Linked DNA regions of Lepisosteus oculatus. The protein of the gene in region 3 purifies or fractionates together with the protein of the main gene of each other region. This does not show direct contact. Links are inferred from orthologs where the notes say so. Each region holds a gene or a part of one and is shown on either strand. Other genes may lie near its edges. The genes, in order: ppp2cb, fgfr1op2, strip1 and sike1.

Region 1 (7,847 bases), on a different chromosome or scaffold from region 3:
CCCATTACCTGTAAAGCGCTTTGAGTGGAGTGTCCAGAAAAAAGCTTTATAAGTGTAAGCAATTATTATTATATTGGTGGTCCACTAAAAAACACAGCACAGCCAAATTTGCACTGTATCGTTTTGCACCGTACAGTTTTACACAGCCTCCTTTTCCAATATAATATGTATTAGAATGTGAGACCTACATCATGAAAACCTAAACTCTTGAAGACAATAAAGCAACCAAACAGCAAAAGATCTTAGTACTGAAATTGAATGGGTTGGTTTGTTTGGGAAATCGAGTGGTCGGTGTAAATATTTAAAGTTTTTGGACATGATGCACAACTTATTTTATAATTATGAATACTCAGTATTCATAATTCATAATTTATGTGAACATGAATTACCACATTTAAAGTGCCATACTGTGTTCAAAATCTGTGAAACAAAACAAAAACAACCCTTGCAAAAAAAGATAATCATATATTTTTCTGAGTTCAGTTCAGCAGCTTACATACAGTAAAATTAACATAATATACCGGGTGACTTTTAATTTGCAAGGAAGCCTTGTCAGCCCATATTTGAAACCTATAGATATTAGACAAGCCAACAAAGAAAAAATATTGTAACTTCTTGGGTTAATTATCTGGTGACGTAAACCAATCAAATGTCAGGTCTGAAAAGACAGCATCTACCGATAACTGTTACACTATTCAATGACCACAAGCCTCAAAGTAGTCACGTGCTTATTAATTCTTTTCTCGACAGGAAAGAGTTAAAAACAACTGTCAGTAGACAGCAGCAGCCTGTGACTCTTCCTTCGGGACACATCAAGGACAATGAGGTCATGACCTGTCCTCTGGCAATTAAGGAGATCCGAGACACATCATTACAGCTGGAGACCACTGCTCTCAGAAATGGTCATGACTCTTTACAGCTACAGCCTCATGTGCAAGCACTTAGTGAGACAATTCTGGAGACAATATATAAACTGCAGAATGGCTCTGAGCAGCAGATTAAAAAAAAAGCCAAATCTTTGGAGCCTTTTCCCCACACATTAGCCTCTGAGCAGGGTATGATGTGCGACGTAAATTGCACTCCAAAAACCAAGGTTTCATCTTCTGACTTCGTGTCTGTGGGGAGGGTGTTTGAGCAGCAGCGCACAACATGGGCACCTTGGCACAAGAATCACGGTTCATCCCTGCAGCGTACTCTGCCCTGTCCAGTTTCCCACGCACAACAGCGAGAATGCCACAGGTACCAGCAGCAGCTGAGACCAGCCTGGGGTGAGACAAAGACACAGACTTGTATATCAAACAAAAGGCACCCTGAGAGACGTCCGGGCAGTGAGGGACTTTTAAGGCCCAGCATCTTACAGAACAGCCAGCAGCAGACTCTGCATTCACAGGCACCACACTACTGGAACCAGCCCGTCTTACCCTTTTGGTCTCTGCACCAGGGAGGTGGTGCGTGGACACAGCAGCTTCACAGTGCTCCTGTGTGCTCTGGAAGGCAGGAGCTCCAACCAGCCAGTACTTACCACGCATTTGCAAGCACTACAGATCATGGATCTCAGTTTCATCATCTTCAGGCATTAAACAACTCCTGTCCGTATTACAATTGTGAACCCTTTCTCTTTTGTAATGGGTATCCATTTGGTATGAGCAATTCTCAGATACCTGCAGTGGACTCTCAGCAACTGAGGACATTTTATTCTGATCCAAATTGTTCTGCAGCAAGTCAGCCACCACCAGGTATGTTAGTACATGAGCTTCTGTGTCACTCATTATTTTTTGTTTTACTACATGTATACAGCTTGTGAAATCTACTTTATTGTGCTGAAGACCACTATCTGAAGTTAACAGATTCTTTACATCTTGAAATATATAACATAGTGGAACAAAGAGTTAATGTTTAAACAAAATATGAGATAAATTCTAAAAATGCGTAAAACATTTTTCAGGAAAAAAGTGAATTATCACCTGTCAGCTGTTTGACTGTCAGTTAAACTAACTTTACCTTTGATATTTCTGTTTTTCAGTGTACTGGAATTAGAGAGAAGCAGAGAACACAAGAACATTATGTCTGATGGTTCTATTTTTGGTTGTTTTCAAGAGTCCTTTCTGAAAACTTTAGGTCTGAAAGCTTTTATATGTTTCTTTCATATTTCTTAAAAAATATATTTTTGTATTTTTTGCAGAGTCCTGCCAAGATAATATTTTCCTTCATGCTTTCCTAGAATTTTATGCTCAATTTGTAAAGAACAAAATGTTATCCATGATTTAATCCTATACATTGTCTGAGCACTATTTGTTTCTGTACTGTTTGTCATATTAAAATGTATTTTTGACAAATTTGTCAGTATTTTTCTATAAAAGGTACAGTACTGATGTGACAGAACCCACCCTTAGATAAGGTGGACTCATTGATCTGAGCCCATGAAGATTCACAAGGATGACCCTATATGATGCTGGAGACTTTATTTCAGGGTAAACAGGAGATCTTACATTCAAAAGACTGTAAAGAGAAGCTCCCACCCACACCCCTTGCCTATTGTTAAACTCTAGCAGTCTGACCTGACTGCTTCTTAAAACGCAACTCATCACTAACACAGTGAAAGTCCCTATACCCATGTACCCAAACACATCACTGATTAACACCCATGTGAGAATGTGTCATCTACCACACTGTAAAAATAATAAAAATGAACAATTTAACCCCAGTGAAATTATTCTCGAGTAGAGGACGGTGGCTAGTGGCAGGTCAGTTGTTATTAAAGTCCCTTCAAAGACCAGCCTGCTACACTTTGCTTTTCTTTATTAATGCAAATTTTAGGTTCATTTAATATGTATCCTTGGCAGGGATATAGGGAAAGTATATATACAAAACAGGTAATGCTTTGTATTCCTATGTTTGCATATTAAATGTAATATAAATATTAAATGTATTCAAGATAATACGTTATACAATAGTGTAATGAATCTGTACAGTATTGAGCTAATAAATCTTACAAGTCATTTATGTTAACATAGTAAACCTTTTTTCGGACTGTGGAAATGTTACAAAAAGCCAACAGCATAGTTATACTGCATACAGTTACATAACATGTTAGCAGCTAAAGCTGTACTATACATGACCTATTGTCAAGTTAGACACCATAATCCAAATAGATATGCAAAGGAGAGCAGCATTGTTACAGAGCTGAAAGATGACATCCAGTGTACACACTGTAGGAGGGAGGAAGGGTGCTACTGTCTATATCAGTCCAAACACTTTAGTTCTTATATTTGAGAACGTGGACACGCTGGAGAAGACTACACTTCCCAGGAGCCTCTGGTGAGCAGCAAGCTGGGTCATCGATCACTGGGGTCATCAGTAGTGTGTCTGGAGCAGTATAAAAGAAGCTAGCTGGGCCAGACTGTTGTTTAAAGAGACTAGGCTAAAGGACTGTCCTTCAGTCCAGTCTCCTTAATCTTGGATTTCTGTTTATATCTCCAAATGTGCATGTACAGAACTATATTGACGCAGAGGAAATGTCTCAAGTCCATTAAAAGAGCACTCTTATTATTATTCCTATAGTCCCTGAGTCTCTTCAGCTAGTGCAAAGGAATGTTTCCCTGCTTTGTCTCTCATTGTTCATCTTGTAGAAGTTCAGTGGAAGGACTATGTTGGCTCTTGTGAGCAGTTAAAATACTTGAATTAGATCAGTTTGTCATCCTGTCTATGTCTAAAATGTTAATACTGCAAATAAAACTGAAATTCACGTTTGTGAAGAAGAAAAAGATGGAAGCCAAGACTTTTTGGCAGTTTAAACATTTAAACAAGAGGGTCTACAGATTAATTCAAAAATTACATCTGCTTATACATGATTAGTTGAAGAAGATACTCTAGAAAAGTTTTTATCTTTGTTTTGGGGTCCTAACAGTTAAACAGCAAGATGTGCAAGCATCAAGCAAAGTGTAATCTGAGCAGGGATTGATGAAAACAGATTATTCACTAACTCTGGCAGTGGCAAGGGATTTCATCTGGTTGCATCATGCTATTGAGTTTGATTGCTCTAAGCACAGTATCTATTTCCACACTTACTACCACCAGACACCTGCTGATCCAGAAGGCCCTCAGACCTTCAAATGCAGACTGTGCATTGCACTGTGCACCTAGATGACAAGATGTTTTGAATATTTCTGAACATGTGTGGAAGTAGAGGGCCCTCTGGTGAAACACAGAGGCACTCACAATAGTTTCAGCAGTCAAATGTCAATTGATTTTCACTGTGCCTGGGACCCTACACAATAAACTGTAGAAACACAATCCTCTGCCAAAATGAAAAATATTCTATTTAGTTCAAAATAAAGTTTTGAAATGTGGTTGTCTTTTGTTTCTCGTGGAACTTTAACAATCATTCATATATAGGAAATATACCACCCAAAACTAAAGCATAAGATACATTTTTTCTGGTAATGCAGGTACTATCAATTTGGCAGTCCCTATGAAAAAGGCATTGTGTGGCTGAAAGATCATGTTAAAAACTTGAATCATAAATAATCAATCCAATTATCATTTATTAAAACACGTGCAGAAACAGGTTTAAAACGTCTAACCAAGCAGTAGTTCATTTAAAGGAATAAATAGGCTCATGAGTAAGAGCTCTACTGGAAAAAAAAACTGTAACACAGATGCCCTCCAGGACCGGGGTTGAGAAGCACTAACCCACAGTTTATAGCCAACTAGGTCTTCTCTGACAGCGGAGGGCGCTAGAAGAATAACTGCTAACTTGCTAAAGCTATTTGCAGTTGGAGGGAAACGTCTCTTCACCGAGTGTTTTTCTTGCTTTGTGAAATCTCCGGTGTTGTGGTGGAAATGCCATTGTGATGACGTTTGGGGGAGGAGAGCGCAGAGCCGGTCGGCCATTACACAGCTGAGTTTCGCTGGGAAGGTCGGGGGGAAGAGGAGCTACTGGCAGTGAAGGAAGAGTGCGGCTCATCCCCTGCTACCCACCCGCTGGACCCAGGAACCAGAGCGCCTAAAGTCTTAGGGGACTTGAAAACGCCCGGACCAGTTTGATTTCGCCGTTTCTGAGCCGATTTCAGCTATCTGTTCCGAAAGCCGAGGTGCCCCCCTTCGCACCGCTCTGCAAAGCTCCAGCTTCAGCCTTTCAGCGACGAATTTCGATAAGAAAAAAAAGAAACGAGTCACTGCTCGAAACAACTTAGTGCTTAAAACCGCTTTGCCGTGTGTGTTTTTAAAAATGGACGATAAAGCCTTTACAAAAGAACTGGATCAATGGGTCGAGCAGCTGAACGATTGCAAGCAGCTGACTGAGAACCAAGTGAGAACGCTGTGTGAGAAGGTACGGCAATTTATGGTTTTTACCATGCATCTTGGAAGTGACTGTGTGTGTTCAAGTTTCAACTGAGGGTCAGTCTTTTTTGGTGTAATGTACCGGCATTTCGCCCCTAGCTTGTGAACGCTCGCTGTACTCGGGTAAAGTGAAGTGGGCTGCTGATGTTTGGGGCCCCAGCGACGGCGCTGCCAAATAGTGACCGATTGAACGCGAGCGGCGCGTCAGCTGCGGGCTGGGTGAGAGCTGCGAGATAGTGATCCGTGGCGCATGCGGCGTCCGCAGCCGTCAGGTGGGGAGAGCTCAGTGCGCCTGTGCGGGACGGGCTGGTGGGGCTCGTTCCAGCGCATCAGCAAAAAGGACCAGACGTGCTGCTCACAGGAGAGCTCGTTGTGGTTTGTGAGGCTTTTCTGTTCTGAAATTGCTGTGTTTATCCACTTCGTTATTGAGCGTTGTATATGCACGTTAGTGCATTTTAGTAGAGTCATGACAATTAATTTAAACCACGCGATATAAAACAAAAAAAAACTTATCTTGCTTAATTTTTTCCTAAGTGGGGTTTAAAACAAGCAATATTAACTTTGAAGAACACTCATAATATAAAGCGAGAAACAACGATGCTGTGTTTGTGGAACACAGCAATATTGTGAATGTAAAGCAACCATACATTGAAAAATGTTCTCACAGTCATGGAGTTTGTAATAAAGTACTACTTTAACCTCCGTAGGCACCATCATAATGTCTGTTTTGCTGGTGGCACGCGTAATCTCACGGGTTTCGATGCTCGCAGGTCACGGTCAGTTCAGTCTTGCAGGTTCTGCTGAATTCGGCCCTTGTGCACGAGGACGCCAGCTTTCGAGGTCCAGTTGCCCCGGGACGAGGCACCTGCTGTGTCCAGCGCACATCAGGCAGTAGCACCGTGTAAAAAGAACAAACTCGGGATTTTCTTCTAAAGCAGGGCTCCTCAACCTCCAGCCTGCTCTATTTTCCATTATTTCTACAACCAGCTTCTTAATTATTTAGCTGCGGACCAGTAGGATCAATATAGTAATTAAGGGGCGGGTTGCATGAGTTGGAGAATGATTTTGTTGCTCAAAGGGTTTTTATGACACTGTACCTTTTGATAGGGGGTCTGTCATCTGTCCTGGGGAGTCTAATACAGAAATATTAATTCTTGGACCTAAAGGGTTGCAGTTTGCCAGTTTCACAGGTTTACGTAGGGGTAATCCGCAATGGGTAAAGACTTGAAATAATACAGAGCAGCAGAGTGAACAGCAGAGTCCAGCTTGGAATGAAAACCTGAAAACAACAGCCCCCCAGGACCAGCAATGAATATCAGTGGCCTAGCATGTCCGCCAGTTTTCTAGGTCTCTTTCATTCACTGACAACTGAAGAGCTGGGCAGCGTTAAATTGGTATAGCCAGTAACAAGCTGATTTAGGTCATTTAGAAATGAGATGGAATGAAAACCTACTAAAACACCGGACCTCCAGAATCTTTATAGTCACCAAGCAGAGAGACCTGGGGTTGGGATTAAAACACCATGGACAGTTAAGAACTTCAAACACATCACTAGATGGGAGTCATGCTTTTCACTTAAGAAATGGCTTTGAAATTTGTGATTTTGTTTGTGGGTATAGGTTGTCTAGCTCTGGATCCTGGGCAGTGTGTGAAATTGTGTCGCTAAGGCAAATTAATAGGCCACTGAATTCCTTCAACGCTGTGCTGAATCAGAAACTAGAATGAATCACCTTAGCATCAGTTAAAATCAAGTTTAAATCTTGTTTTATAGGAAGGTTAGGATCTGATAACTACAAGTAAGGATTTTCATAGGCTATGTGCTAAGGTTCTAGGCCTGCTATTGTATATGTAAGTATGAAGAATACAACTGTTCCTAATTTAAGGGTAAAAGTATTTTTCTGATGGTGTTGCTGGGAGAGAAAAAATAATTGGGTTCCGGTCATGGCCAATCAGAACTGCTTTGGGAACATTAAGATGAGTCTGCTAATAATGATGGCTTTATTAAAATGCTCCAATAAAAGTTGTAACATGCCCAAGTGTGTGCCTCTGCAATGTCTCTTTACTAACTGAGTGCTGGGCTCCTCCATCTCCATTCTGAGGATTCTTCTGAGATAGCAATAGGGGCTCTGTTTCCCTCATTGCCTTTTTCCTCGCAACCAGTCTGTTTGAAACAAACCTACATGATCCCATGTTTCTTTAGCTTCTTTCTACCCCAGCTGTTGCCTGCTCGCAGAACTGTCATCCACCTGATAGAAACAGGCTTTTGAGTCTTTCAGTCTCAAACACCGACTGCTTCTGAGCCCAAAGTCAAGCCTGGTTTCCTGGGATTGTATTGTCAGCGTTTTTATCTTTGGAACAACCACAGGGATGAAAGCATCACTTCTTTTCCTACAGTTCTTTTTCAGTTAGTAGCTCCCTGTGTTTTAAAGAGAGTTTTTGGAAAGTCTTGCCCTTGCCTTCTCCCGGGTGAATAAACACCATTGCTTGAATGTCGGTCCCCTAGT
Region 2 (6,823 bases), on a different chromosome or scaffold from region 3:
TGTGCAGAAAGAGAGCAGAGAATAAAATGGAGTAATTGCAAGGGGATTATTAATCCAGTGTACATACAATAGAATACAATGTATTTTTCCAGTGACACCTGAAGAAAGCACCACAGCTACGTACATGAATGTCATCCAGCATGACATCATACAGTATATACTACATCCAAAACCCCCATCGGTCTCAATGGATGTTACCAAGTCACAAAAACAACCTTTAAGCACTCCAGGTGCCAGCGGGTTTAAGGATCATTTTCTATACAGTGTTTGACTGCAGGCATCCGGGGCAGCACGGTGGTCAGGTACTTGATTATTCCAGTAAAAAAGCCATCAGTAAAAGTGAATGCCAAGGGTAATGCCTAACATATGGTTTAAGAAGAAGGTTTAAGAAGCCCGCACAAAGTTAAAAGTCCTTTAAATCTAACAGTGAATCTGATACTCACGTTGGAATGCTGCTCTTTCAGCTTTGTGATTATGACAGGGTCGTCTTTTTTGCTGGCCATTAACAACCTGAAGACCTGCTCCCTGTATTTGCTCATGATGAGCTCAAGAGCTGACTGGTGCTCCTCCAAAGAAGTGCGCAGTTCTGTGAAAAAGAGCAGACACGACAAGCAGTCTTTTACAATGTACACACTTACTGTTCAGTTCTTCTGATGTAGGCCAGGGGGAGGAAATAATCACTAAGCTGACTACTTTGAGTAACTCAGTAAAAGGAATCTGCTAAAGGTACAATCGCAATTTACAATACATCTTTCAGACAATGCTTAATCTTCCCAACTCTTTGCCAACTACTGTTGTTTTCTTGCTAATATTAACAAGAGGTGTGACCCAAGACAACGCCTTTACTTTCACTGGAAGATCATTTTTGTGAACTGAGGACTTCTATCATAGGAGTAAATGGACATTTTTAAGGAATGGACAGGTGGAAAAAATAATGGGATTTCACTTCATCTTAAACTACACAAAATTGAAGAACTTAACACATCTGAACAATTGAAAGGGTTTGTGTAGCTGCAAAGAAACAAGTAAAAAAGAAGAAAGTTTTTTGGCTATTGAGCCTTCTTCAGGTGTGAGGGAGAAAGAGGGAGGACGTAGGGCTATAAAGCACAGGAGAACAACGGCAGGTGAGAAAGTGTCCGAAACGCTCAGCAGCTGAAGCCTTGTGCTCTTTCTTTCTGCTGAGCAGCGTGGAATCAGCCTTCACTCGGGTCTGAATGGTGCTGACTGCAGCCACACATTCAAATGGAGAGGAAAGAAAAGAGATGAAAAGGTGTGGTTCTCTAAGATACGAATGATTATTCTGCTGATGTGTTTCGTCTCGTGGCACGCGAGTCTCACCTTTGTTCTCCTGCTGCAGGTCTCTGATCTGGCGGTTCTCCTGTTGAATGCCCATGACCAGGGTCGACCGAGGCCGGTGTCTTGCCACCTCGTTCAGCTCTTGGATCTCCTCCTGGTACTGAGGGCAAATCAAAGGTGCATCTCAAAAAGCCCTCTTCAGATTTCATCAACATGAATACGCTTTCGTGCACCGAGACGTGGAAATGTATTTAAAGCAGAGAACAGGAGATCTGTCTTTGCCAAAGGGTAGTGGGAGTCTGAAACAAGCCACCCAGCCACGTTGTTGAAGCTGATACTCTGTTTTTTTTCTAGAAACAGCTGGATGAGATCTTGAGGTCAATTCACTACTAACTGTCAGGTGCGCTAGTTGGGCTAAATGGCCTATTCTCACTTGTGGTTGCTCTTTTGCACTAGTAGGCACCTTGTGTTGTTGCAACCAAGTGATCGAAATCTCTCATCTATTTCTTTGGCATGCATTTCACAAGCACAAAGCTCCTTAACTTCAGACAGTGGTCTGAGAACAGAAATCCACCCCCTTGTTCTTCAGTGATTCACTGTTGCTTCCCGACTTCTGACACAAAATGCATACAGCTGTTTGCCGAAAGGCAGCGTTACCTGTTTCATTGCTTCAACTCGCTTGTTTAGGGAGGTTGTCTGCTCAATCAGCACCTCGGCAGCACTGTCATGGTCTCTCAGCCTGTCCACAAGGGCTTTAGCGTCAGCCAGAACTCTGTCTATCGTACAGCTCATTTCTGCAAAACATGGGGACAATAGCCATTTGACAACCGTGAAGAGAATACACCCCACAGCAGGTCGAGTGAAGAGCATCCCAGCGATCAGAGGGGGCATGCTCCGAACGTATGATTCCACTGTAAGAAGGAGGAAATCACAACGCCGCTCTGAAAGAATTCATAGCATAGCAAAATAAGATGAGAAAGAATGTATATACACTACCCTAAGAGAATCAGACCCCCCAGCTTCACCTGCAATACCAATCAACTGGAATCAGGGTGATCACAGAAAGAACTGATCAGTACCTGGATGGGAGACCTCCTGGGAAAAACTAAGGTTGCTGCTGGAAGAGGTGTTAGTGGGGCCAGCAGGGGGCACTCACCTTGCAGTCCATGTGGGTCCTAATGCCCCAGTATAGTGACGGGGACACTGTGCTGTAAACAGGCGCTGTCCTTCGGATGAGACGTAAAACCGAGGTCCTGACTCTCTGTGGTCATTAAAAATCCCAGGGCGTTTCTCGAAAACAGTAGGGGTGTAACCCCGGCGTCCTGGCCAAATTTCCCATTGGCCCTTACCAATCATGGCCTCCTAATAATCCCCATCTATCAATTGGCTTCATTACTCTGCTCTCTTCCCCACTAATAGCTGATGTGTGGTGAGCGTTCTGGCGCACTATGGCTGCCGTTGCATCATCCAGATGGATGCTGCACACTGGTGGTGGTGGAGGGGAGTCCCCATTACCTGTAAAGCGCTTTGAGTGAAGTGTCCAAAAAAGCGCTATATAAGTGTAAGCAATTATTATTATTATTATTATTAATTATTAACAGACTTTATCGGCCTAATCTGAATTGAGTAGACAGCCTCACCTTTTTTCATGAGAAGGCTGTGGTGTTGTGAATCCTTTTTCTGTTCCATTATTAGAAAGGTCTCTGTAGATGTACAATTTTCAAAACATTGCCGTTGGAGAATTAGGTTTCCAGAGCTATTACAAAGCCTGTGCTTCACAAACACATGTTTCAATTCACAGAACAAGGCATCTGCTAGAGCTGCTCAAGAACAGCAACAGCAGCTTTGATGGGCTACATGTAGGCTACTCCAGTCACGGGGACCACAGGAGAATCTCCGAATGATCAACTGTAATGTTGAGACATTCTTGGTTTTACTTTAAAGTAAACATTAACTCTTACGCGCTAATAATAATAATAATTGCTTACACTTATATAGCGCTTTTCAGGACACTCAACTCAAAGCTCTTTACAGGTAATGGGGACTCCCCTCATCCACCACCAATGTGCAGCCCCACCTGGATTATTTAATATTAAATTGTGGGGACTGACAAGTAAGAACACACGTCCTAATAGAAGGCACGTTGTTTCTCCAATGCTAGATCGCAGAGAGATTCTCATCCTTCGGTACCATAATCCACTACGGTTTTTATAAGTCTCTTAAGGACCATTAAAGCATATCTAAACTATCAGTGGGGCAGAGTTTGGGATTTAAAGAAACACAGAACGCGTACAGTATTCCGGGAATCGATAAGTCGAACCCAACCCCCTGAATCCTGGAATAAGACAAACATACAGCCTGATCTACAGCTCCTACCAATGAGCAAACAAGAAGTTTCCCTTATTCTGACACTTAACCGACGGTTCTGTCCAATGATTTTGTCCGATCACTATCACAGGGGGCAGCATTCATTCATTTTTTCCCCCAAAGGACACGCAACTGCCGACTGTTTTATAAATCCTGAAAATCCAGACCAGAGAACCGATTCGACATCCTCAGAAGTTTTTGGCAGTGTTAAGAAAAACAACGAATGTGTCGACGGTCATCCCTGTTGCACTATGTTCATTATGATACATAAAAGCCTATGTTGAATTAAAATATTTTAATTTTCACAATGGTTTACTCTGAAGTGCAATACTCATGACGCGAACTTCTTTATTTCTAAAGTGATTAATACGTAATCTAGTTTAAATTAAGTGTATCACTGACTGCTGCACCGAATATACAGCACTTCCTAATTAATTTTATAAATGTACACATTCAAACATAAATGCCTACATTAATCAACTATATATTAGGCCTATTAACTTTTCTATTTTTACATATAACACAATTTCAAACCTTACCTGAGAACTCCAGCGCCTCTTAGTCCGGAATCTTTTTCCTGTTTATGTAAAGCTTTTCCGGTTGATTGGCGCACGCACACCGGATGCGGCACCCAAACAGACGTCTGGGATTTGTAGTTTATCACACTGTCAGGGCTGCGCTTGGTAACACCAGAGCAGAAAAAGTAAACCTCTCTGTGTTTTTTTAAAAAGACATATAATGTGGTTATCGAGGATATTACCTTCAAAATTTTTTAATTAATTTGATTAGTTTCTTACACGGTGAGGTCTGAAGCTAAAACATTTCACTGACTATACTGTACACTAATCTGTAGGGTTTTCTGTTGTAGTTTTCAGATCCCTGATACATAGCCTTTCTCTCCCATAACAGTCACAAAATAGACTCCAATTAAAAATAATTACCTTTTATTTGGGTAGTATTGAAGTTGAAACACTATTCACGATATTTTTAACATTGTATACACTGTACTGTACATACGTAGTTCAAGTAGGGAGCTGCATCAGCAGGCGTAGGCTGCAAAGGAACAAGCCAAGCTTTATTCCTGCTGAAAAGAGCACACCTGAAGAAGGCCAAAACACTGTGTTTCTTTTCTTCTCTTTTAAGCAAGGAATAAACCTTTACTTCTTCATTTTCTGCAAGAGATACAGTTGGTCGCTGGAGGTACAAGATGCCATCTGGGTGATCTGGAATTGTCCTGAGGGGCCTTGAATGAGTGTGGTGTTAGATGTGTACTTGCAGGTGATACAGCTCTGTTGCAGGGGAATATACCTGGTGTGGATGGCTGGTGAGGGCGGTCAGGGGAGCTGTGAACAAGGAGGTTACACAGATGAGGTGGTCGGCGATATGAGATGATGGGGCGATCAGAAAAGAGGGCCCCAGTGGAGGGATCATCCTGTAGGATAGGAAAGTTGTTGTTAACGGTCCTGGGGATGGAGAGTGTGTTACGGAGGAAGGGAAGCACCAAAGGAATGCTGTTGTTAGGCCAGGAGTTCCTGATCGAGTTGATGGTCCGAGGGCTGTTTTTCGCTCAGGTGAGGACCCTGTCAATAACACGGGTGGGGTATCCTCTGTTGATGAAAAAATATATGTTTCTGTATAAAATACTTTTGTTTAGCAAAGATTTAGAATCAGAAATTGTACAAAATACCTAAAATAAGTAATACAATCCCCAGAGTTGTACGTCATAATCCAGCATACGACAATATTAAATAGTGACTACATATTCAGCTAAACAAACAGCTACTCCATTAATCAAAACCAGAACCTTTTATAGTGAAAGAAACTCTAAAGTCATACAACTAAGAATTCATACAATTATCATTCAGCTAAGAACATGTTCTCTCTTACAATGATGACCTGGCTGGGAAACACACACCACTGTTGCACAGAAGAAAAAAATAACATAGAAATAAAGAGAACAACCGGTAAAAAATAAATTCTAAACATGTGCAAGTGTCAGGCAGAAAAAGTCGAAAATGCTGCATTTAAATTGAATTTGTACTTGCACTGGTACATTTTATTTTACAGTCAATGTTTTATTGTACAATAAGGTACAGAAGTGTCTCCTGGGTATAAACAAATCTCTCTCGGTCCTAATGAGTCTGCACAGAGCACAGAGGTTTCTCGGACCGGGGTTAGCAGGAAGTGATTACACGACAGGTGACAAACGACCAGCACCCAGCTCAACACAAGCACATCCTGTGCTTCTCACCTTTCTCTTCCGATGTGTTATTAGCTCAAGGTTTTAGCATTTATGAAAGCTGGGTGATTTTTAACAAGATGTCACGATTATAGTCCCCCCTCCTTAAGGGTGCTCCAGCCCTTTCACTTTAGATTTAATTCTGTGCACCTGATCCCTTTTCCCAGCCCACCTTAAATGCCAGGCGCTGACGCTCATCCTGGCTCTGCATCTGGTTTCCACACCGTGCGAGTCCGGGACCTGGAAGCGTCTGGTCCCGTTCCCTGTCCGCCGGTTCCGACCCGGTTCATGGTTTTAATTCCTAGTTTGGATGGATCACCTGGCTATGGACTTATTCTTGTGTTTTTAGATTCCCTCTATGGATTACTTTTGGATTGTTTGCCTCGGCCACACCTCCCCCGTGCACCAGCGCACTTTGGACACGCCCCCCTGTTTTCAGCCCCGTATTCCTGCATGACGTTTTCCTAGTGTTTCCCCACTTCTTCGGATTGTGTCGTCCGCATAGGGTCCGGAAAGAACTGTTCGTTACACAAGAGGTTTTCTTTTTGGGGGGGGGGGATTTCTTGTCTTGCAAATGGAAAATTAAAAAAAAAACACAAATAGCCTCAATAAGACCAAAACCTTCATGACCCAATCAAGTAGCTGAGTGTCCCTAAATCCTGATTCTTATTTAATTCCACACCCAATCTCTAAATTATAACTGAATAATCAATAATCTGAATAATCAACTTCATCTTTTAACAATAGTAAAAATGTAATGTAAGACATTGACCCTTTCAACACCTTCTGAAGACAGAGGTAGTACTGTGGGGCTGGGGAATTGCTCACTGACAAAAAGGGTGAGAAAACTAAACGACGTAATTCTAGGCCAATACGTTAACTACGTTTACATGCACGGTAATGGATAAAAATATTGGAACA
Region 3 (8,014 bases):
ATATCCAACTCAATGTAAAGAAAATGCCCTTTAGCTTGTGCAATACAGACTCTTTCCCAATTGTATCACACCATAGCAGTCACAGGACAGTCCTTAATGAGGCAGACAGTGCCACAAGCTGCTACTCCTGAGCTATTTGCTGACTTACCCTGAGCCATGTACAGAATAGCTCTGGCTACTTTGAGCCTCTTCTCCCTGGCCGTCACTTCCAGCCCATCCAGGAGCCGCATCGCATGGGCCCTGTGCTGAGTGGCGTCCAGTTCTGTCCATTTCTTATCTGTCACTGAGAAGGCAAAGCATAGAACTGATGACCAGCCTGAAGGACTTCGAGCTCAAAGCCATGTTTATCACTGCATCTGTGAACATTGATTGGATGGGAACCTGTGAACCTGTGTTGGATTCTGATACAATGTTTCACTCCTACTGTATATTAAAATGCTATATTTAAAACCCGTGCTGTATCTATAAAAAATGAGTATTAGACAGTGATATTACAGAAATGATATACAATAAATGCAAAATAATATTAGACACGGTGTATACAGAAATATAAATTGCATGAAAACAGTAATCAAGCAGAGCCTGTGGTGCTGTACATTAACCACTCAACAGATGTTCTCCTTGTTTTAAACCAAAAGTACCATGTGTCCTGAAATCTTCAATAAAGCACTTCTTGTTGAGCAGAAACTCTGGTCCCTCTGTGTAACTATACAGCTCTAGAAAACAAACCAACAAAAGACACCAATATTGGTTTTGAAAACAAGACAGGGCACAGTGCAATCTAGTGAAAACTGACTCGTGACAAACAAGATCACTGTCCAGTATAACAATCATAAGGAAATAGTAGTCTTAGCTACAGAACAACAGAAGAAAAAAATAAAATACTGCAATTTAAAACATGACTGCTCCAATTTTGTACAAAGGCAATAAAAATATTCTTTAGGAATATTTGTGAAATTAAGCTTCTATATTTTTAAGCACCCAGAAGATAATATATTAAATATCCAACCCACCTGAAAGCTCTGCAGCCCATCTGTCTGTATCAGCATATTCAAACTCTAGATCAGGAGATTCAGAAAAACCCTGGAAAACATGAACACAACTTCTGTCTGACTGTTCAGGATTGCTTTTGTAGCCAAGCAACAACATGTTGTGTGTACAAGTCAGTGGCCCCAAACTTCATGCTTCTATTTTCTAACTACTTTATCCAATCACAGATAATGTAGGACAGCTGTCCATCACAGAGCCCCACAGTCACAGGCATAAACATGCACACACTCACACCAGGGCCAATTTTCTCAGAAGCCAGTTATTTTACTGTTAAGTCCATCCAGCCCATTGACTTCTGTTTCACTGTAATCACAAAGCCAGTACTGGGAACAAACCTCCTCCAAGGCAAATCCTCCTGAAACTCTTCATCTGGAAAGAGTCAATTTAAAGCCTCCTAATCCTAAACTAAACCTAACCCGCATTCAGTTAGGAAGCTGGAAGAAATAATGGCACCTGGTGAAAACTCACACAAACACAGGGGCACATGAAATCTCCAGACAGACAGGCACCCATAGCTAGAATCGAACCTTGCCACCCACATTACTCTAAGCATACAGGCGTGTAGTTCTGATCTTAATATAACTAGTGAACAGACTGAGGCTGTGGTTTTGTTACCCAGAATTTTAGATATCAGTGATCAATCCAAGAAAATTGATGAGGGGTTTAGTGTATGGGAGAATGCCGGATACTAAAAATGTACCCCTCAAAAGACTAATTCAGAATAATCTGGCAATGCATCAAATTTGTATTTCCTTCTGTAGAAGCCAACAGGATTATATTTAAGGGGATACACACATCGATGAGGAGGAGCACCAAAACAAGTACAAGGTTCAGGTTGATTACCAATTACAAACCTCAGTCAATGTGGTAACAACAAATTTTAAACATGTCCCAGTAAGAAATCTGAAATCAATAAGCCTGGAGCAAAAAATGAAAAGATAGTGGTCAATGCCTATAGAAATCCCACACGCCAAAGTAAGACTGTGCATGCTCCACATGGAAGATACCCTAGTGCCTCACTAACCTCCATGCCACTCTGCATTTACTTAAGATTATGATTTAACACCATTTTATTGTAGTAGTTGTACAGACCGTGTTTAACGAGTCCATTACTAGCTCCCGGACGTTTTAGATTGGTCCTATGCATTTCGTCATTTTAGACGAAAGTGTCATAATATTGGCAGCACCTCTTTGGCCAAGGTGGGGGGATGTCTTGCCAGATTAAGGGAACATTATATCCCATCTGTCCTCATTTTACTGTGGTACGCGATCTGGCCTTGAAATCCCCCTCCAACCACCGCGACAGCACCGGGTTCCCATGACAACGCCAGTTCCCATCCTTCCTCACCGGCTAGAATGAAACCGGGGATGTGGATTTTTTTTTGCCAAAATCCCCATGATATACACTGCGTTTCAGTCTGTGCTTTTTAAAATCACAACGCCTATTAATTTAGGGATACATTAACAGTATAAAATAATGCCTAGAATGGAAATATTTCAAGGGCGAATACCACCAAGTGGTACAGCAGGAGACGAACTTCTTTCCATTAGTTGCTACGTGTTGCATTAATAACGTCGCTTCTCCGCTTTCTCTTCCCCGCGTTCCCCATTCACACAATAACGACAGAAGATCAGTTCAATATATAAAATGCACACGAAGCTATTGGGTCTTTTTTTAAGGTTCACGCGAGTATTTCTGCTGTATGTACTAAGCGCAACCAAGGCTGTATCCTGTGTATGTTCTTCTTAAGCCAAGAACGTTAAGATAGCTTGTTTTCAAAAACAAATCGCATCGCACCAACACCCCCTCCCTTACCTCCGAGTCCTTTCTCTGATTTCGGATGAATTCGCCCCTGCCTTTGTTGGGTAACATCGCTCGCTGTTTATTGTTGACAACCAACGCTCCGCCAACTCCGACGTCCATCTTTGCTTCCCTGCTACACCCATCCAGCCCCCCTTCCACCGGCAGCCACATATCTCGCGAGAGTCTACTTGCTCACACAACAGGCAGAAGCCTACAAGACAACGAAACATCACGAGATTTCGGCTGAGGAATGCGGATGAGCACGGAACCAGCTGTGTTCTGCTGTTTTAAGGTGTTAATGGAGACGCTGTGAAATACGGACTGGTCCCCTAAAAAAGAGGGGATATTCGTGCTGGCGGTCCTTCTTTTTAGGCAATCATTTGCAATAAGCACTCCTGACTTACAGGTGCATGATAAAACTTTAACTTTAGTAACTCAATATGGTAATATTCAAAAATCTCAAACAAGAACATAAGGAAGCTCACATACCAATGGGGCTATTTCTATTTGGCTGCTATGTAATTGATGCCGACTACCTGACGAAGGACCTGAGGTTTTATTTCTCCTGTTCTAAGTCAGAAATATGCACTTCTCATTAGCTTGTGTCTCATGGCCCAGTTTTCACAGCTAACCAATTGGGTTGACTTTACCTTTGCCATAGAGTATTCTGAATAAGGTCCCCTGCAGGTTCAAAGCAGATCTGCCATACGATTGGTTTGTGGAAGTTCTATTCCTTTCTCACTGCAATACACACTCCAGGAATAAACATCTAATCCCACACCTGCCAGAAGCACAGCAGCTATCAATTCTCCTAGGCCAGGGGGAGGAAACACAATAGAGCTGCAGTATAGAGTATGCAATTTCCTGTCCCAGCCTGAGGAGCAGACAGTGACTCTAAATAAGAGCAATGACGTGTTCCTGGGATGACTGTTTCTGGTGGCTTTTGCCTGGTGGCTTTTGCCTGTGTTTGGCCCATATAAGAGAATTAATCAGCAGTGGGTAAAATCCTAAACCTGGAAGTAGGATATGCATGCAGGCTTTCTCCATCTCTCCAAAGCAACAGCACCTCGAGAGCTGGATGGAGTTGTTACATTGGTCCCAAGCCTGTTTTAGATATTCAGAGCTGTGCTGGAATTAAAACTGCTGACACGCCAGGGCTATGGGACCAGTATCGCCCTTCCCTGGGGTTAAATGGTGGGATTTGGGGATGGGAGGAACATTGGAGTAAAAGAACAGGGATACAGAGAGGCTAGGAAGATGGAATAACATACCCACCAACTTTCCCTCACCAAGGAGGGAACTAAAAAAATACCAAAAAACAACATAGCTAAGCTGTTATTTTCCTATTTCCATTCCTGGCAGTGCTGTGCGCACAAGAACGCTGTTTGTAGCAGAACTACTGATCCGACACAGGCTGAATCACTTGAGAAAATGCCTCTACTACCCTTTGAGGTAAGGTACAATTTGGAGGCGAGCCACTATGCATAACCTGCATGTCTTAAGATGCCAAAGTCTCAGAGCATCTCTCCCAAACCCCACCCAGAAAAAAAGAAATTTTCAGACACAGCCTACAACCTAATTCAGGCTGCCTATCGTAGGATGCAAGGCAGGTTGGATCCCCTGGACAGGAGATTCAGCCCATCTATACTGTATGGTAAAACATTTGGACATCTGTCCATCGCAGGGCACACACATTTCCACATTTTACTGACTCTAACCTAACCAGCATGTGTTTTAAGTACTACTACACTAAATCCTCTACAAACACTGGGAAAACATGCAAACTCCAATCAGAAGGTGCCCAAGTATTGAATCAAACCCAGGACTCAAGAGCTGTGAGACATCAGCAATAAACAGCCGCCGTTCCACCCTTTCCCTTATACAAACTCCCTACAAACAGTGAACAGCCTGGCACTCCTGATAATAACATTCCAAAGGTTAACACACGACACACTCCAAACATTATTAACCAAATTCCTTTTATTGATGGAAAATAACAATGAAAAAGAGATGTCATCACACATAAGAAGGGCCCAGTCTCACAAAGGGCCTCATAAAGTGAGCTTTTGCTCCACCGCAAAAGTGACAAGAACATTACAATTTTAGATTCAGTGCAGCTGGGAAGATCTGTATTGCATTTACTTACGATTTAACCTCAGAAGTTATATTCCAGTTGTCTGAACTTTGCACTGGTGCAAAATACAAAACGCCTTGCAAGGCAACACTGTAGTGCCAGAACAGGCCTGGAACAAAATAAAAGATACGCAATGGTAAAACAAAGCAGCTCTGTCCTTTTCCTGAGCTCTTATTCTGTACCCAGAAGCTGTAGACAAACCTATATAATACAACTGTGATAAGAGAGGAGCATGTGTTAATGTTCAACTTGTTTGGTTTCGGGGAGGACCCCCACCCCATATAATAAAAATGCATTGGTGGTCATTCTAGGGACGGTGGAGGGGTTTTAGTGTGAAAAACACCAGGAAATAATGGTGTAAAGACCCTTCGTTATACCATAGCAAGGCAACGACTGAGCTTTCATTAAGTACACCAATTATTCAATTATTTAAGGACTGCCAAGATCTCAAAAGCATCACAGAAATGCAAGGAATTATCACTATCTGTAAAACACTGACATTATAAAAAGGACAAGATTACTTAAAGGAAAACTATACACCTTCCATGCTCTCAGATTCTACTTGAGACAGAATTTGAAAACGATGCATCCAAAATATTTTTCTTTAGTACTTAGTACTTTGAGAATCTGAAGGGAGATTGACAAATACTGAAGCATGTACACTGTGAAGATCAGGTTGCCAAATTTAATAAAAGTTTGAAAGAACATGCCTAGCAAAACCCCTGGCTCCTCTCTGAAACCCAGATCGCAATACGTGCAGTATTATAGTTTGTCACACTCTTTCTCTCAAGTAACATTTTTACTCTGCCAGCGCAGATAAAGGTACAGTGAATGCAGTGAAACCACCAGATCACTCTATGACACACATTTCCAGGAACAGCATAATGTCACACCTCCACCAATATTGATTGCATTTGGCCCAAGCAAAATGATGATCTGAACATTGGAGTAAAAGAATAGGAAAAGGTGAAATGACACATTAAATGGAAACTAAAACATTCTTGTCATTCCAGCCTAAGCAGAAAACTGCAGTCTTCCTTCTAACCCAACTTTAAAGGGACAAGGAAGACAAAAGAAACAGAAATCCTTGTCGAGGCACAAGATCTCCACAAAAAGCTGCTGCCATAGGCTCAGCTCTTTCATGTTTGTTGGAGATGAGTCACCCTAGTGACGTTACAACACTTGAAGGGGAATGTCTCAACTGTATTAATTTCCCACATTCCACACCTTAACATTAATCTCAGATCCAGCAGCCAAAGATAAGAGATATTAAAGATAACAACATTCTATTCTAAATTAAAACATCTTGCAGCACACACAATGATGAGAAGTAGCCAGGTGAAAGGTTATGTTCATAACAGTTTGTGGACCAGTAGGTAGCACTCTTCTCTTTGTATGAAAACGTCCAAGTGTAGAGACCAGGGACACCGGGGCGTAGGGGTGCCAACCTACTGATGAGCTGTTAAACTGAGGTCTTGACTACTTCTGGTCACTTTATAATTGCAGTGAAGCAATTAGCTTCTCTTAACTTCTCAATTGCTTCTCCAAGCCTCCCCTGTTGCCTATGCCTAAAAGTAACCCTGCCAGTAACCTGGTAAGTCTATAAAACATGTATAAAACAAGTTTAATTATTAAACCAAGTCTTCTAAAATGTATTAGGTTAGTAGACTTAAAAAAATAAGACAGTCAATTCTCTTGTTTGATAAGGTGATGTTTGAAGTCAGACATAAAACTATTATACCAGACCTTTTCTGACACTTACAGTTCTGAGTTTTTATTATTTACTTTTAATACAGGGAAAAATGTCCACAGTTTTCTCCTGCTTTCTGTATTGCTCAACTGGAGATTGTCAAGGGCTGTTTCGTTTTCCGGATGAACAGCACATGACCCTTCCGCCACCCTCTCAAACCTCCACACTTGAGCCATGAATTCCTGCCAAGATGAAGTTGTGTGTTAAAGCTGGCAAGAGACAATGGGGAGTTGGCTCCTGTTCCCGTCTCTGCACTTTGGTCGGGCTGGGGCTGGCCTGTTCAGTCTCTGAGCTGCTCCCCGCTGCGGGGCAACTGTGCGGTGCGCCGTCTCTGCTCCTCAGCAGCCCCCCTGCGCTATCACCTCGTCCTGAACCACGCTCCCCTGCTGAATCGCAGCTGTAGCCAAGCTGATGGCTTCCTCCAGGGTCTGCTGCTCCTCCAGCTGGGCAGACACACAAGACAACGTCATGGATTCATTGGAAAGTCAGGGGAAGGCTTAAAGAGAGTTTTGTGTTTTTTCCCAATGCTCACAAAACAAAAGGTAAAAAGGCTTAGCTCCAGAATGGCTCCACCTTTATACTGGAGGTGCACGCCGACCACAGGTTGCCCTGACATCACCAGTTTAGCTCTGACCTGTGTCATTAACTGGACTGTGACCAGGATTCCCCAAGCAGAGTGGCACGTGTGGCTGATCACTGCCAGGGCTGGGGGAGTTGGAGTCTGTAAAGATTATCCCTCAGCTCGAACACCATGCCACCGCAGGAAAAGGCCACTGGCCTTTTCCATTTGGGAGGGTTCAACACAGATACAATAAGTTTGTAGATTTCTATATACAATTTTGGAATCAACAGTAAAATAAAGAGGACATTTTGCATGGAGACAAATAAATAATCAACATTTACTTCGATTCACATAAAGAAAAGAGTGAGGGATGCGCTGTTTGTGTAAGCAGGGTTTGATACTGCCTTGCTGAATTTGACTGACCTGCACAGCAATCTGTGTGCCATTTGCTGTGGCCAACAGCGCCACCTGCTGGTAATGAGGGGCAGACAGCTCAGAGGTTCCAGTTATCATGCCATCTGATGTTACTATTGCAACCTGAAAGAGTGAGGTGAGGGGGAAAAAGTTTAAATGCAAATAAAGTGACATCTTCTGGATTTCAAATAACTCAAATCACCTTCTAGAACAATCAATATAGTTTTCTATTCATCAATTTTTTAACCACTTCATCCAATCGAGGGTGGTAGGGGAGTAGGAGCCAATCCCGGCAAGCAT
Region 4 (7,847 bases), about 4.9 Mb from region 3:
GTCTCTTTGAAATCTGCCCTCAGTCAGGCACTGTCAACAGGGCCCTTGTTTGCCCCCTGCCTTCTGACTGGGCGGCTCAGGAGCCGCCGTGTTTGCTGTACAAGCAGGAAGTGGGCTCAGGAGATAAAACCGCCCGTGTTTCTGAGAGAGTGGTGACACAGGCACGACAAAGTCCAGGGCTGATGCAAGAGGTTCACAAAACTGTTGGAAGGCTCACTGGGGGCTTCATCTTTCATTAACTCTTTGACACCTTCCCTTTCAGAACTGAAATGTATCCTTGGTACCGTATGTTCCCAATCAGATCGAAAGACTCTAGAAATACCCATTTTCAGCTCAGGAATATTTAATAATACACAAATATATTATAAAAATAAATCAATGAATAGATTCAATATATAAATATCTTGGGTGGCATGGTGGCACAGTGGTTAGCCTTGCTGCCTTGGGGCGCTGGGGCCCTGGCTTCAATTCAGGACCTGACATCCTCTCTGTGTGGGGTTGGTATGTTCTCCCCATCTTCACATGGGTTTCCTCTGGGTGCTCCGGTTTCCTCCCACCAAAAGCGTACTGATAGGTTAGCTGGCTTCTAGGAAAATTGGCCTAAGGTGTGAATGTGCCTGTGTGTGTGCCCTGTGATGGACTGATGTCCCGTCCAGGGTGTATCCTGTCTTGAGTCCTTTGCTTGCCAGGGTAGGCTCGTTGTGACCCTGAATTGGAAGAATTGGATATAAAATGGATAGATGTCTGGATATACATATACAAAGAAGATTGAAAGATACAAGATCAGTCTAAACAATCGCTTGCGAGCTCAGAAAAGGAAGCTGTGGAAAGTGAGACCAGCTTGGAAACACAAAATCTGGGGCACTTTTAAGTGAAAGTTTGTGGCTGCCTGAAACAAACTACCCAACAACACTGTGGAAGATGATTCACTGGGAGTCTTTAAGAAAAGGCTATTGAAATTGTGAAACAATTACTTTAAGAATGCAAGAAAGGTTGTAAAGGAGAGGCAGCTATTCATTCCAATAGCGCATTAGGTGCTAGTAGTTAATTGATCTCAGCCAACCACTTCTTCACAGAGGTTTAGGGTATCAGCTTTATCACATTATTGGGATAACTCGTTCCAGGCTCCCACAGCCCTAGGTGTAAATGAAATCCCTCCAGTTCTCAGTCTTCAATGCACTTTCCTGTACTTAAGCCACTTGTTAGAAACCAAATGAGCAAGTTGAACTGAATTGTCATTCCTCTTTTTGGTAAAGTTTCAGAAGACTGCCGACGTGAACTAACAACTGGTACTGAAAATGTTTTAAAGATACACAGCAATGGAAAAGGTCTTTTCCTCAGCAGGGAAGGTGTGAAGTATCAGATATAAACAATTTTAAGAGCTACTAATATCGTCTTCTTTGTAGTTAAATTTAAACAAATAAGCACATAATAAGCATTAGTGAACCACTGGGATCAAACAGCCAAATCACTAAAATGATTTGTAGATGTTATTATTTGTTTTCCACAGTTTTTTCCCAGTGTGTCAAAGTCAAAGTTTATGGCTTATGGCTGTGTTTTTCAAAAAACAACATTACTTAAGTGTTTCCTGTTTGCTTTCCTTTTTAATCATTTTGCAGTCTGCACAACAGACTGACCAAGATCTGCACCTCTGTAAATCAGCTAGTGACCTACACAAAGACACCCCATGAAGTGTTTCAGTACCATTGAATCCAGACTTATACAAGTACCATTGTGGACTACAGCGGCACAAATGAAGAGCTGTTTATTTTACGGATATTTTATTAGGCTCCAGGAAGGTTTTTCTGTTTTATTTATAAATAACAGAAGCTAATGAAAGTTCAATGAATTGCAGCTTATGACACAGCACAAACTTTGAGTGTACATAGAAAAACAGTGATCTTGCTATTATAAGTAGTAGTTTTAATATATAAAACAGTAGAAACATTTGCATAAGTCGCAACAGAGTGCTAGAATCAGCTGTAGTATTAGGAGTGTAAGTATAATATTAGTGGCGGTAGCATTTAAAGGAATATTTTATTCACTTTAGGACAGTGCCACATGTATCTGACACCAAAATAAACTGATATATCACCTTCTAAACTACTTGGTGATCATCCCTACAGCACATTTTAATTTGTTAACTTCAGCAGGTGTGACAGAGTTGTCCTTGTCTGGGAAAGGTCCTCTGTCTGGTACTATGTTATTGGCTACCACTGTGAGTAATAGGGTGGTCTGTCCGTACTAAGTACTGCTACATTACAGGAACATAAAATATGTTGACAGTCACTGAAAACGCATGAGTACTATCCTGTATATTTAAAGTAGTATAGCTAAAAAAACACTTTCACAGACATCACAATGTTTGTAGCTGGGGTGTTTTTTGTAAATACGACTTATTTGTGTATACCCTGACCTGATCTGTCCTGAGTATGTGATATTTTTGGAATAACTGAAAGGCGGGGATAACCTTATCAGTATCAGTCATTGTGCCATGTGTGGAAATATTAAGTTCTAATGCATATGCAATGGTTGCTTGTACACACTCAGTCATGACAATAACAGAGAGTGACTGGAGCTGTACTCAGGCTATAAAACGTCCTGCAAAACCGCTTGGATTCAGAGCACTACAGGGGCAGAGGTGAGGGATACACCTTGTGTGTCTTCTTGGGTGTTCTCCGGTAATTGCCTTTTTTGTAACAAATTAAAACTTGTTTCAAACCTTCACTGGGCTATGTTTTCACTTCTGGCATCTTCTAAATTGGTCCTTAGCAAAGTCAACAAATTTTGGTTATTTAGAGCCATACATACATTTCTGTACACTGCAGAATATCCATTCGTAAGGTAATACAAAACTCCTCTCCTGAGATTCAGTGCGAATCAATGACCGCAGGTCAGAGAAACTCTCAATCTTCTCAGCATTGCTGTGTAACCTATATAGAGACACTCTCTGAATTGGAAGCTGTGAAAACAATAAAGGTGTTTCCAAGTCAGAACCTCAGTAATGTAACCTGGCTCAGACTTCCATTCCGTTTCTTGTTTTATGTGCAAGACTGCTATCCTATCATAAAAGCTAGTATTATTTATTTCTGACCTGCTCAGGAAAACAGCAACAGGAGTTGAAAATTCCATTTGTTAAGACATGAAGAAAGCCCTGATACATCTATCAATAGTCCCATACCCTCAGAATGTTTTCATGTGCTAAATTATTTAATACTTTAACACTTATTAAAGTGTTTTTAGAAATGTTAACAGCTGGTTTGTGAATAATTTATCTGGTGTCATTAATAACACCTAAAATGTAACGGAAACATTTTCAGAAACGTGATTTGGTAATGTGAGAAAGAATCCCTGTCAACGTTCCAGTTATTTTTTATATTAAATATCTTAAATGGCTATTTCTGTGAGTTAATCAGGACAAATTTAAAGGTAAAAGGCTGAACAGAAGATCTTCTCCAACATCACTACAATTTCTTCTGTAATTGTTCTTCTCATTGTAATTTCTGACAATCAGAAATAGTCAAAACATGCATTTTAAAATCTACCTGATCATTTCTAAAGAAAACGTTTGCTCCTGTGTTTTTTTTCGGGGGGGGGGAGCTGTATAAACAAACTTTTCTGCAAGTGACCTAAACTTTTGTCTGACAACAGCAAGTGTGCCTTCAGGCAAAGCAGGGGCTGAAACATTAAATCATTGACAGTATCATCCCTCCATGTCGGCAGAAGGGAACAGTGAGGGCAGAAGTGTGTCTGTAGTCTGCCAAGAAAAGGAAACTCTTTCTGTATTTTTCTGTCCTCACTGGGAAATTCCTATCTCGGTTCACACTGGAAGTTTGTGGTTTTAGTGTCTATAGTTTTTTGATTCAGTGCCGTCCAGTTCTATCTCCTACAAATAACTTCAATAATTGTGGTTTTGAAATTTGCTAAAGAAGACATAATATGTTGTTGTTTTCCTGCTTCCAACAGTCTTCCCTCTCTGACCTTTGACACGCTCCATGGATTACCCTGTATCCTTTAAAACATTGGCAGATAAGTTGAAATCAGGACTATTCAACACAGTAAATTTGTTGCAAAACAATTAAAGGGTTTGAGGGGATCTGTTTCTGTGCATTCTGCTCTTAAAGCAGATAATTTGATTATATTACTAGCCACCTTACAGATGTTTTTGCTTTGAAAATTGCTCCAGTTTTTTCCAAAGCAAAATAAAAATACAAGTACAGACAATTCTTCAACCAACACTGCATTTAGGCGATATTTTTGAAACACCTTTCAGACATCCGAACTCTTCTATAGTCACAGGAAACCTCGTCAGATCTGTGCCTTTAAATATTTTTACAGTGACTTCCAGAAAATGGGGAGAAGTGATTTGATCTGGTTTAAAAGACCCCCTGCTGTGCTGTTGTATTAATTTTTAAATTAGAAAACAGCTTCATTTCCAAAATGCTTTGCACTTCACTCGCTTGTCTCCCGTGTCTGTCTTCTTTGATTATCCTTCATAAGAATACGCCGTTATGCTGTGTGGACATGCCAAATGTGTTTTAACATCTGCCATCATGCACTCGGAGCATTTCTGGAGTTATTTTTAAGAGTTTTACTCACTGCCACGCTCACTCGTAAAGGTTGCTGTCTGGCCACTCTCTGCTTCCTCGCTTCCCCCAGTTCTTCTTCTGTGGGACACTCTGTCTCTCTTGTGCGCTGTCTCTGCACTCAGCCACTGAGGCTCCAGACTGAGCACTGCTCTCTCTCCTCTCTCCCAAACACTCCCCCCACCCCCCACACAGCAGCACGGCACTGAAGAGGGGGGGTGCTCGGAGAGAACCCACTCTCCTCTGGACAGTGCCTGGGTACAGGAGCAAGTCTTTTTGAGGTAAGGGAGGGGGATACCAGTATTGATATTAAACACTTAGATTGAATGGTTTAATTATGTCACCAATGGGCTTAAGGGCTGAGGGGGGATTCATTTCTGTAGATTTAGGACAGAGGGGGGATTCCGTTAATTATTGTTGAACAACCATGTTATTGACTTCCTGATAACTATTGTTACATTTCTCCAGTAGAAAGAAAAAAGAAAGAAATATCCTCATTCTCTTCCTCAATTTGAACATGGTAGAAGGAAGATTTTGTTGCTGTATTGTTATGAGACAATGATATTTACAATAGATTCCAAAGTTTGTATGTATATATATTATTGTCATTTTCAGTTTAAGTGTTTTTGTCTCAAATGAATTGTTGTGATAGACTTGGAATTGATCCTGTAATGACTGCAATATCTATAGTATACCTAGTAAGTTGTGCATTTTACCTAAGTTTGTATCAACCCAGAGGCAAAAGATCTACTTTAAGTTGAGAGAAGGGGCAACTTCATGTTCCACACCAGGGAAAACATTTTCCTGTAATGTGTATTTCTTAATCCATTTAATTTGCATATAATAAATACATTTAGATCACCTTCTATCACAATTTCAATGTTAAAGGGGAACTGCTTTGTACATCATATTTCGGGGTTAGAAAAAATCAGTATTGATGAGTGCATTTCAAGCTGCAGTAAAAGTAAAATGTAAGCAGTAACTTGTAAAACCTCCAATTTACATCACAAAATTTGCCAGCAGCTACATCACCCCGCAACTAACAAATGTCAGCCCACTGAAGCTTAGCAGGTGTGAACCTGGCCAGTACCTGGATGGGAGACCAAGGTTGCAGTTGGAAGTGGTGTTAGTAGTGTTAGTGGAGCCAGTAGGGGGTGCTTACCCTGGGGTGTGGGTCCTAATGCCCCAGTTATAGTGATGAGGACACTATACTAGAAAAAGGCACCATGTTTTGGATGAGACGTAAAACGGAGGTCCTGACTCTCTGTGGTCATTAAAAATCCCAGACTTTTTCTTAAAAAGAGTAAGGGTGTACACTGGTATCCTGGCCAAATTTGTATCACGTCACAATTCTTGGGAACTCGAATGCAAGTTTGCAACAACGTGGTGACTTACAGTACTTTCAAAGAGTTCACAATTTTGTGCTTAATTTAACATTTGTAAAAAATTTTCTATAACGTAAGTGAATTTATTCTGTTACCAAGATTTAATAACCGGTCTGAGAAATTGGGACAGCAGTTCCCTTTTAATTTAGCTGTTCTCAGAATTGTAATGTTTCTAAAGCATATTCACAAGAGGCAAATTACCAATGATGGATAATAAGACAGCTATGGCACAAAATGTCAGTTGATGACTATAAACTGATGTGCAGTTTGTTGATTCTGGGTGATCAGAGCACACAGATTAACACAACAATAACACATAGCACGGGCATGAAGTTGCACAATGAAAAATTGTTGAATTATCAAGAAACACTTTATTTCTTCTCTACACTCATTTTATATCTTGAAGGCATTTAATTAGTACTGATGCACAATGAACATGGAACGGTTTTACTTCAGTATCTCATTGGAAACAAACATAAAGTTATTTACATTTTAAAAAGTGAGTACATAAGTTGTTTGAATAGTTCTTGGAGGGCAAAATATTGGAATCAAGCTATGTGATTTTATAAAAAAACAGGTGCTCAGTTTGCAATTTGGATCAAAATGAATTTAAGAATCTGTGTAAATGACTATTGTAAAAGGCAAGATTGTGATTAATGCTGCAACAGTGTAAGAGTCAACCATTTCCCACCTGAGACCTGAAGACCACGTGGTTGGTTTCAGTGTAACTGAAGGTGGCCTGACTGTGAGAGAAATGTTCCACTTCAACAATCAGTAGACTAGTCCAGAGAATCCAGAAAATTGGCTCTGTGAGGGACTGAATCACCTGTGAGGCAAAGGAATCACCGTACAGGCCCAGAACAATCTGACCCACCTGTTTGTTTTCAGACTGCAGTGGCTACAGTGTGAGGAATTCCAAAAACAATAGCCTGCTCATCTGCATAATAACTGGATCACCATGTTCTTGATGATCTGCATGCTAGCTGGTGACATCTAAGCTGGTTGTAGAATGGGAGAGATTAATTTGATTTTTCTCTTGATGGTCCTGACAGGAGACAACCTGGGTAAAGTTGTCATGGTTAGTATTATGGTAATTGTTGCACTGTTCTAGCCAGGCTGTGTAGTGGTAGAACTGTGATTATCTAGGGAGACATCTCCTTTAACTCAAGAACAGCTCTGAAGCAGATTGAGGGTTCTCTTACAGCTCAGAGAGCAGTTTCACTGACAAAGGCCATGAGCCAACAGCTTCTCCATTCCTGCAAGACACTCCAGAAGGGTCCATTTCCAGCAGGACAATGCGAGACCATGCAGTACTAGGATTACAATGACATGACTTCCAGAAAACAATGTTGCGGACTTGCAGAGGTCTTGCAGTAACCCGCTATTTCTCCTCATCTGAGTCCAATAGAACATCTGAGGGACCAAGTTGGCATTGCCATGAACAACAGACAACCTTCCCCAGCTGGCTGCATGCTGCACAGGAAAAGTGCTGAAACTTCCCACAGTATTAAAAACTTTTCATTGATTCATCTCGTGGTACTGTAGATCAACACAAGCATTTTACCAAGACTTTCTTTTAAGCTTTTTTTCCCCTTTGTTCTAATTTTCCCTTTCCCTTTCTCTAAAAACAAAACAAAATTAATGAAGTCCTTCAGAGCTCATCTCAACCAAAGACCAAGAGAAGTGGGGTTCACACATAAATGAACTTGCAGTACAGCAGTGACAGCTTTCGCACAAAGGATTTTCAAACAACATTTGTCATTCAAAACAGTTCAACAATATATTAAAAGAAGCTTTTGAGGTTTTACAGAAAAAAATATTATCAAAAATGCTTGATCGGATTACTTTATCAACTACTTCATTAAAAAGAATTCAT

What was found.
Region 1: the proteins of strip1 (region 3) and ppp2cb purify together in Homo sapiens (affinity purification with mass spectrometry; 6 studies listed by BioGRID and IntAct, counting the BioPlex papers as one, with this or other methods). This does not show direct contact. The link is inferred for Lepisosteus oculatus from reciprocal best matches to the Homo sapiens genes STRIP1 and PPP2CB.
Region 2: the proteins of strip1 (region 3) and fgfr1op2 purify together in Homo sapiens (affinity purification with mass spectrometry; 3 studies listed by BioGRID and IntAct, with this or other methods). This does not show direct contact. The link is inferred for Lepisosteus oculatus from reciprocal best matches to the Homo sapiens genes STRIP1 and FGFR1OP2.
Region 4: the proteins of strip1 (region 3) and sike1 purify together in Homo sapiens (affinity purification with mass spectrometry; 3 studies listed by BioGRID and IntAct, with this or other methods). This does not show direct contact. The link is inferred for Lepisosteus oculatus from reciprocal best matches to the Homo sapiens genes STRIP1 and SIKE1.

What each region holds. Positions count from the first base shown.
Region 1 is NC_090698.1:27,325,853-27,333,699, forward strand, and holds the start of ppp2cb (serine/threonine-protein phosphatase 2A catalytic subunit beta isoform), read left to right. Parts: upstream 1-4,842; 5' UTR 4,843-5,230; coding exon 5,231-5,332; intron 5,333-7,847.
Region 2 is NC_090702.1:54,195,362-54,202,184, forward strand, and holds the start of fgfr1op2 (FGFR1 oncogene partner 2 homolog), read right to left. Parts: upstream 3,001-6,823; 5' UTR 2,986-3,000; coding exon 2,937-2,985; intron 2,091-2,936; coding exon 1,954-2,090; intron 1,457-1,953; coding exon 1,339-1,456; intron 587-1,338; coding exon 444-586; intron 1-443. UniProt on the Homo sapiens protein: May be involved in wound healing pathway.
Region 3 is NC_090700.1:37,169,625-37,177,638, reverse strand, and holds the start of strip1 (striatin-interacting protein 1 homolog), read right to left. Parts: upstream 3,015-8,014; 5' UTR 2,975-3,014; coding exon 2,867-2,974; intron 1,084-2,866; coding exon 1,014-1,083; intron 717-1,013; coding exon 642-716; intron 284-641; coding exon 149-283; intron 1-148. Other genes in the region: znf76 (zinc finger protein 76), read right to left, coding at 7,077-7,181, 7,724-7,837. UniProt on the Homo sapiens protein: Plays a role in the regulation of cell morphology and cytoskeletal organization. Required in the cortical actin filament dynamics and cell shape. Part of the striatin-interacting phosphatase and kinase (STRIPAK) complexes.
Region 4 is NC_090700.1:32,285,204-32,293,050, forward strand, and holds the start of sike1 (suppressor of IKBKE 1), read left to right. Parts: upstream 1-4,842; 5' UTR 4,843-4,867; intron 4,868-7,847.